Linked DNA regions of Arabidopsis thaliana. The protein of the gene in region 2 interacts with the protein of the main gene of each other region in a pairwise test. Each region holds a gene or a part of one and is shown on either strand. Other genes may lie near its edges.

What was found.
Region 1: the proteins of GAE5 (region 2) and AT1G11915 interact in a protein complementation assay, tested with the Arabidopsis thaliana proteins (one large-scale study listed by BioGRID).

Annotation. Positions count from the first base shown.
Region 1 is NC_003070.9:4,019,908-4,023,814, reverse strand, and holds AT1G11915 (wall-associated receptor kinase galacturonan-binding protein), read right to left. Parts: upstream 2,066-3,907; 5' UTR 1,986-2,065; coding exon 1,169-1,985; intron 1,024-1,168; coding exon 982-1,023; intron 862-981; coding exon 731-861; 3' UTR 523-730; downstream 1-522. Other genes in the region: AT1G11920 (Pectin lyase-like superfamily protein), read left to right, coding at 1-148; APA1 (aspartic proteinase A1), read left to right, coding at 3,819-3,846.
Region 2 is NC_003075.7:7,288,414-7,292,687, forward strand, and holds GAE5 (UDP-D-glucuronate 4-epimerase 5), read right to left. Parts: upstream 2,708-4,274; 5' UTR 2,436-2,707; coding exon 1,125-2,435; 3' UTR 779-1,124; downstream 1-778. Other genes in the region: AT4G12240 (zinc finger (C2H2 type) family protein), read left to right, coding at 1-576. UniProt on the Arabidopsis thaliana protein: Involved in the synthesis of the negatively charged monosaccharide that forms the backbone of pectic cell wall components.

The DNA.
Region 1 (3,907 bases), on a different chromosome or scaffold from region 2:
CGGAGCTTACTTCGTGCCTTCTGGCTACGGAACCGTCACGCCGTTGTACGGAAGAGCAGAGCGGTTTCCGGTGTCTCACGGCTCTCTCGTCCCTTTGCTTACTTCATCCGCCGGTCCTCTCCATTGCTATTCCGGCAGAATTTGCTAACTAATTAATTATTATTCACGTATATATACATATGTGATTATATATAATGTTTCATAAAATGTAACGTTTTGATAATTTTGTTTCTTTCCTTGGAAACGACGAGGCGGAATTCCTGTTCCTGAGGTGTGTTTTGTGAATTATTCAGTACCCGGGACGGAATTCAAGTTATCTTGGAGGATTTATATACTTTTTGTTTTACTTTCAAGATTTGTTTTGTATAAAGATTTGAAGTTGACCAATGTGAAGAGTATAGTATTTTGGAGAAGTTTTTGTCTTGGCTTATACGAACAATTATGTGATTCTTAATATGGATGACGGTACAGCTACCATTATGCTTGCAAAATTTTTCTTGCTTGGTGCCTACCAAAAGATTACTATCCGACCAAAACGAAAAATTTACTATTGTATAAGAAAACACAAAAAATTATACGAAAATCTTTATCTAGAACTTGTAGTATACACAAAATCAAAGATAAAAGGTAAAGAACAAAAAAGGCAAAAGAGAGCGAAAAAAGAAGAAAAGAAGAGTGTGAGTGTGACCATGCTTTTAATCTTTTTAAAATTATGATTTCATTGGAGCTTTTAGAAAATTCTGTTCTCATTGCTTTGAACTCCACAAGTGACCGGAGCATTGGCTCTCACTTTCCTCAAGTACCAATATACTCCACCGGCAACGCCAATCGCTCCTGCCGCTGAAACTGCCGTCACTGTTCCTGTTAGCGACAAATTTTCCGGTTCAAATCAGGTCACAACTTACAAGTATATATAAAGTCATATAGTAATAAGATGACCACAAACTTCATGTTGTAGTTATAGTAAACTTGCTTATTTACCTGCGATAGCTCCTACGCGTTTATGGTTTACGAGGCTTGGATCTGCAGAATGTATCAAAATGATTGAAAATACGTATTAGTACTATCTAATAGTCCCTACCAAAAAAAAAACTATCTAATAGTAGTTAAATAGTTCTCAATAGAAATTGTAGTTAGGACGAAAAGATATGAACATAGACATTTTGACCTTTGCAATAAGTAGTGACATTGCCTTGTTTACAAAGGCACAAAAAATCTCGTGTCCTCGTATTAAACCCACAAACTCCACCACCTTTAGTCGTTTCTTGGCAAAGAAGGCACTTCATTGTCACTGGAAATTCGTAATCAACCCTTATCCCGTACTCTGGAAACTGATCATACGGTGCATTCTCCACACCTGTACTCCTCCAATACACACTTGTATACGTCGCACAGTCCTGCAGCATGAGCCTAAGAGATTGAGTCGCTTTAGGGTAATACGAACAACAAGAAACCCTAGATCCCAAAGCAGAGCCACATTCAGGCAAATGTCTGCATAGATAGCTAGAACTATCGCAGGACGAGTCACATCTATCTGGAAACCTTTCGCAGAAGAGCGGTTTTGGTTCGACGATAACTTTATCGGTGTTGCAGTTGAAGAACAAGTAGTCGTTTTGAGGAGAGACAGTGAAGTGTGTACTTGAATCGATGCTAAAAGATCTAGTGGGTCGAAAATTGTCTCGATCTTGACAGTTCCACATGAATGGATCGGAGACAAGAAGGTGAGGATCAGAGTAGCTTATAGATTTAACAGGGTATTTACCAGATGGTGTTCTAAGTTCGAGCTTGGTATCGTTGTCGGAGCAAATGAGCATGTGTCTGTAATAAGGGCTACCACAACCGTCGTCGATGGAAAAAGGGTAATTTATCGGAATGTTGCCGCAAGAAGATCTGCAGAGATTTGATTGGGATGATGTTGTTGATGATTGAAGAAGGATGGTCATGAGAAGGGAGAAGAAGATAATGTAAGAGTGAAGTGGAGACATTGTTCAAAAATTAGGAGTTTAGATTTGATTATTGGGTAGTTTTTAGTTATGAGATTATAATTTGGTGGTGTGAAGTGTTGAGTAAGCTTGGAATGTCTTGTTAAAGAGTTTAAGAATCAATCTTGTCATGTGCTTGTTAATATTGCTTATTTTAGGTTTCGGTTTGTTTTTAAAATTTCACCTTTCTTTTTAGTATAAAGTATTCCAAGAGGACTCGTGGTTTTGTTTCAGATTATTTGAAATATTTACATACAATATGTCAACAAACGTACTATTCTTTTTTCTGATATTTTACAACAAAATTTGTTCTTTAACATGTTATCTAAAAACCATTTAACAAAAAAAATAAAATGTATGAGAACCTTATAAAATACAAAATAGTAATTTCAGTATATAATAGTTTTGAATTTTCTTTTATTTAGAATTTCGTTTAAAGGGTTGTGATTTGTGAAGTAATCTTTGGAAGATAATCTCAATGTAAACAACACATTGGGCTTCTCATAGGCCCAATATAAACAACACATTGATCATTATCCATGTAAGGTGAACTCTTTAATCGAAACCGTTCAATTTCAGTCATCTCAATCCAACGGTTAGTATTCCAAGGAGCACGTAATCCACTCTAAATTCGTAAACACGTGATTTCTCACTAAATATAAAACTTGATACGTTACGCCTTCCTATCCATCCGTCAACGATTAAATCCAATCGTTCAATATAGAGATCCAACGGCTAATAACGAAACATTAGCCCACACGAAATCTCCTTTTTTTTTTTGACGGGATTATACAGTGGGCCTCCACCTGTAATTGTCCATTTAGGAGACAGCGCGGTTAATTTAGCATTATCCCTCCTCACAGTCATCTCTTTCTTCGCAAATAAATGTAACCATCTCTCTTCTCGTTTTCTTCAACAAAAATCCTCATTTCTCTGAGAATCTGGTGCTTTAGCTTTGGTGAGCTCTCTTTCTTATGAAACTTATCGATTCTCTTCTCGTTGATTGTCTTATACTTTTAGTTCTCTGCTTAATTTATTGTCCTTAATACTCGTGGATTTGTTCATAAATCGTTTTCTGAGCAGTTAGGTAAGAGTTTTGTTACCGAATTTCATGTTCTTCGATTTTGAATCTGGATGATTGTATGATGTGATTAGTAGACTCGCTTAGATTTTGTGATCTGTGTATGGTTTGTGGCTAATTTTGGTTTCATCGGTGGTATGAATTTATTTGGGGTTTTAGGTTTGTTTGATTACGTAATCGGACTGTTTACTTGAAGATTTATCGATTATAGTTGTGATCGTTTTTAGTTGATTGAGAAGAAGAAAATAAATTTCATGCTCTTGTTATTGTCGCGATTGTGGCGATTTTCAGTGTCTTATGAATCAATTATGTTGCATGTGAGTCTTGGTGCAATTGAGATTGTTTCCTTTTTTTACTAGATTGCTTGTCTTATTGAACAAAACTTTCCATTTATGTTGAAAAGGTTTATAGGAACGGATGTTTAGGGTTTTGTTGTAATCTGGGTATTTGCTTTCTGATTTCGGCAAGCAAATGTCGATTTCAAGGTTTATATCACTTTCTCTAGCAAAAGAAGTCTTTAGTCATTTGCAAAGTCAAGAGAGTTTTTACTTTATTTATTGCTTCCACGCTATTGCTTCGTGGCTGATTGAGAGAGACCAATTAAACTAATAATTTGTAGTTTGTACAATATATTGCGTGTAACATTGTCCTTCGTTATCTGTTTGAGGAGGAGGACCGAGTTAGCCTATTTTTAGTCACTTTACAAATTTTCTTTTATGTTGCATCATTCAATATGAACTCTCTGATATAAATATATGTATACATACTGGTTGACTTTTATGGGTATGGTTCTCTGCTTTTTTTCTCTGTGATGGTCTCTTGATTCTAACTTTCTTTGTTTTAT
Region 2 (4,274 bases):
AAAAGAGCGGCGAGGAATGTTTTGACTCCGAAGGAAGGTTACGGTTTAGCTGATGAGCTGAAACGAGCTGGTTTTTGGGTGAAGATGGTTAGTGATAAGCCAGATGCTGCTGATAAGGCGTTGAAGGAACATTTGGTTGAAGTGATGGATAAGAGAGAAGTGGAGTGTGTTGTTTTAGTGTCTGATGATTCTGATTTTGCGGGGATTTTGTGGGAAGCTAAGGAGAGGTGTTTGAGGACGGTTGTGATTGGAGATTCGAACGAAGGTGCGCTGAAGCGAGTAGCGGATGTTGCGTATTCGTGGAAGGAAGTGACGATGGGGAAGGCGAAGAAGGAAGTTGAGAAAGTTGTGGGGAAGTGGAAGGATAGAGATGTGTTGAAGAAGTTGGAGTGGACTTATGATCCTGCTTTGGAGAAAGAGAGAGGTGGTTCTTGCGGTGTTTGGGATTACGAGTTTGATTATGATGATGAGATTGAGAATGGAACAGAGGTGGAACCTGTGGAGATTGGTGATGGTGTTGACTGGTGGAAGATCGATACTGAAGATGGTGTTGGATCTTCAAGAACTTGTCGATAACATCATCGCATATGTCGTGGTTGATTGCGCAGAGGAAGATAACATGGTATAGGCTAGAGAACAATCTTGTGAATCTATTGGCATATTACATAAACTTCAGGCTAGAGAACATTCATTGTTTCTTGTTATAAGATTATGCAGTGATTTGATTTGTTCTTCCAAACCATCATCGTTAGTCAAGTGATTAGAGCTATGTAAAAATTGGTCAGAATAAGAATAAATATATGTTTGAATTCACAAGAAACAAGTGACAATAGATTGAATTACTACAGAGTATATGCATCAAAATCCAAGCTACTTTATTCCTCCGACATGATGGAAAAGACAATTGAGTTTCGACAATTGAAACATCTAAGTGATGAAGCTGTACATTGCTCAAAATCTACTAACAAATAAATGAAGCAAAATCTAGCAACACAGAAACAATGCAGATACGTAAGTGATTTTTCCTGGCAATGCAAGTGCTCGGTTTCAAAAGCTTAACCTAGAGCGAACTCCAAGCTCAACAAGGGGAAACAGAGACCATGACTTAAGCAGAGAGACAGAGCTCACCAAGAACTCTTCTTCTTCGAGCCAGTGTAAAAACCCATATACCATTTCACAAACTTTTTCAAACCCGTCTCAAGATCAACCGCAGGTTTATAACCGAGCTCTGCTTGCGCTAACGTGATATTGGCATGAGTAAACTCAACATCCCCATTCCTCGGTAGAGGCATGATCTTTTTCTTAGCTTTCATCTTCAAAAGCTTCTCTAATATAGTCACAAGCTTAGTAACAGGAACAGGAGAAGTATTCCCCAAATTATAAATCCTAAACATAGCAGGACCTTTCTTCTTACCACCACTACCAGTACTCTTCTCAGCAGTATCTAACGCACCTAAACAACCTTTTACAATATCATCAATGTAAGTGAAGTCCCTAGCAACACTACCTTTATCAGGAGATTCAAACACAGTAATCGTCTTCCCTTTAAGAATATCTTTAGTAAAGAAGAAATACGCCATATCTGGTCTACCCCAAGGTCCATAGACAGTGAAAAACCGCAAACCCGTTAACGATAATCCGTAGATGTGATTGTAAGTATGCGCAATTCCTTCACCTGCTTTCTTCGTAGCTGCGTACAAACTCGCTGGTTGATCGGTACGGTCTTTCTCCGAAAAGGGTACTTTCGAATTCAGACCATAAACAGAGCTAGAGGAAGCCCAGACTATAGCAGGTTGCGGATTCGCTGATTTCGATACTTCTAATAGATTCACAAACCCAGCAATGTTACTGTTAACATATGAGCCAGGGTTTTGCATTGCGTAACGCACACCAGCTTGAGCAGCGAGATGCATAACATGTGTGAAGAGGACAACATCAAAGAGCTTTCTGAGTAAAACGGCGTCGTTTATATCGCCTTCGACTACGAAAACACCTGATCTTTCTAAAAGGCCTTGTCTTGCTCGTTTAAGCTTTGGATCGTAGTATCGATTGAAATTGTCGAGACCTAGAACACCATCGCCGCGTCTTCGTAACGCGATCGAGACGTGAGTACCGACGAATCCGGAAGCTCCGGTGACTAATACCGTTAAACCGCCGTGAGACCTAGGACGAGCGGATTTACGGACTTGTTTCTCCCAGTGAGAGCCGCCGTATTTCGCGGCGGAAATGGAGGAAGAATCGTTGAGATTCCGGCGAGATGGTGACGGAGGAGGAGATAAAACGAGGTAGAAGAGGAAGAGAGCGAGGAAGAGAGAAGCCCAAAGGGTGAGTTTTGAGAGACGGAGGTAACGGTGGTGGTGGAGAATCCCGTACGGTGGAACTTTATCGGTTTTGTACTTTCCGGGAGTAGAAGGAAGATCATCAAGGTGAGACATTTTCACCGGAGGAGGATTTAGAAATCGGAGAAAATGTCGATTAGGGTTAGGTTTGGATTTTTGGGTCTTAAGGAAGCAAAATTGAGCAAGTCAAAAATGAGAGGATTTTCCGGGAAAGAAGAAAGAGACGATCTTTTACTTACTTGTTGTAATTAAATTAAATGTGGATGGTTTAATTTGGTTAATGATGTAAATTTATTTATTTGGTTCAATCTTTAAGATATGGTAATAAGAAAGCTGCCAGAGAGTATATTTAGATTCATGAATTTTAGATTGCTTTTCAAAGTTAAAACGTGTTTGTAGATTGTTGACATTTGTATAGTTGTATTGCATTCTATATTGATCATGTTATGCATGTACTTTTGTACACGATCACATATACACTATTTTTACACGCAATAATTGTTTAATAATATTTACTACTTTTGCTTTTAACTTCTGTATTTCTTTGTTCCGATTGATAATAAAAAGAAAAATTATACAATAACAAAAGGTTATAAGAAATGTGAAATAACGGGGGTAATAATGATAAAAATAGATATAAAATCGATCGTATCATGTCATATATATAAATAATATCTTTCGGGATTAACTTTTTTTAGTTCTAATTTATATCGATTGACAAAAAAGTAAATAATACAAAATCGGTTATTTTTGAGGAATTTTATTACGAGTTATTTTTTATTTTATGAAATTGATCTGTTTTTTAGGAGGTAAACAATAAAATTGCATTAAAAAATGTAGTGATTTTTTTATTTTTTAATAAGAATTTTCTACTTATAATGTGAACAATACTATGTGGATACATGCTAGTATGTTAGCAATGTGAACAATATTCGTGATAAGTTAAATATTATTTTAATTTAGTTTATGATTGTTATATCTCACCTAACCATTATTTTCGACATCAAACGAAAATTAATGTTATATATTCCTAGTGTCATAGTAAAAGCTTTAAGAAATAATCCACATTTAATAAGATATACAAATCGTAATATACCATATAATCACGCAACACTGATATTAATCAGCTTAGTATAGTTAACCTATCAGAAAATTGATCTCTTTATAATAAAATTCTATTTCTTTATGGTAATAAGGAGCCAAATCAATTACTACCAAAATATCGGTTATGCCATATACAGTTAATTTGTAATTACTCTGGTTAGATTAGGATATTATCAAAATCAAGATTGACTTTGTCCTTCTAGCGATCATTAACTAATTTTACTAGAGCATAACCGGCTGGGTCAAAGAAATTTGCTTTTATTGCACAAAATTCTAAATTTATTTCAAAAAATTGTTGTTTGACGCTTGTACTAATTATCAAGCTAGTCCGTACACATCGTCTGATATACACTCATTTGGTTGATAGGAGTATTTTTCTCCTAGTCCTGGGCGTTTGGGTATTCGGTTCGGGTTCGGATCGATTTTTTCGGGTTCGGATTTTTCGGAACTATAATTTTAGACCCCGTTCGGGTATTTGAAAACTTCGGTTCGGGTTCGATCCGGTAAATTTTGGGTTTGGGTAGGTATTGGTACTTCCATTGAAAAATCCAAAAAGTAACCGAATATTATTCGATACTAGTTTATAACTACTATAATATACCCGAACATACTTGATACTAACCACATATACCATAAAACCTGTAAATTTGTAATAAAAAAAACTTAAAGTAAAATCAATAAAGCATGACATAATAAAAGTTTCATACGTTCAACCCAAAAAGCAAGATTCAAAACATCCAAATAAAACCATTCAAATAGAAGAAAGAAGTTCAAATCCAAAGCAAGACATAAAAACATCGTTTAGAATCGAATCCAAAGCATTCAAAGTAA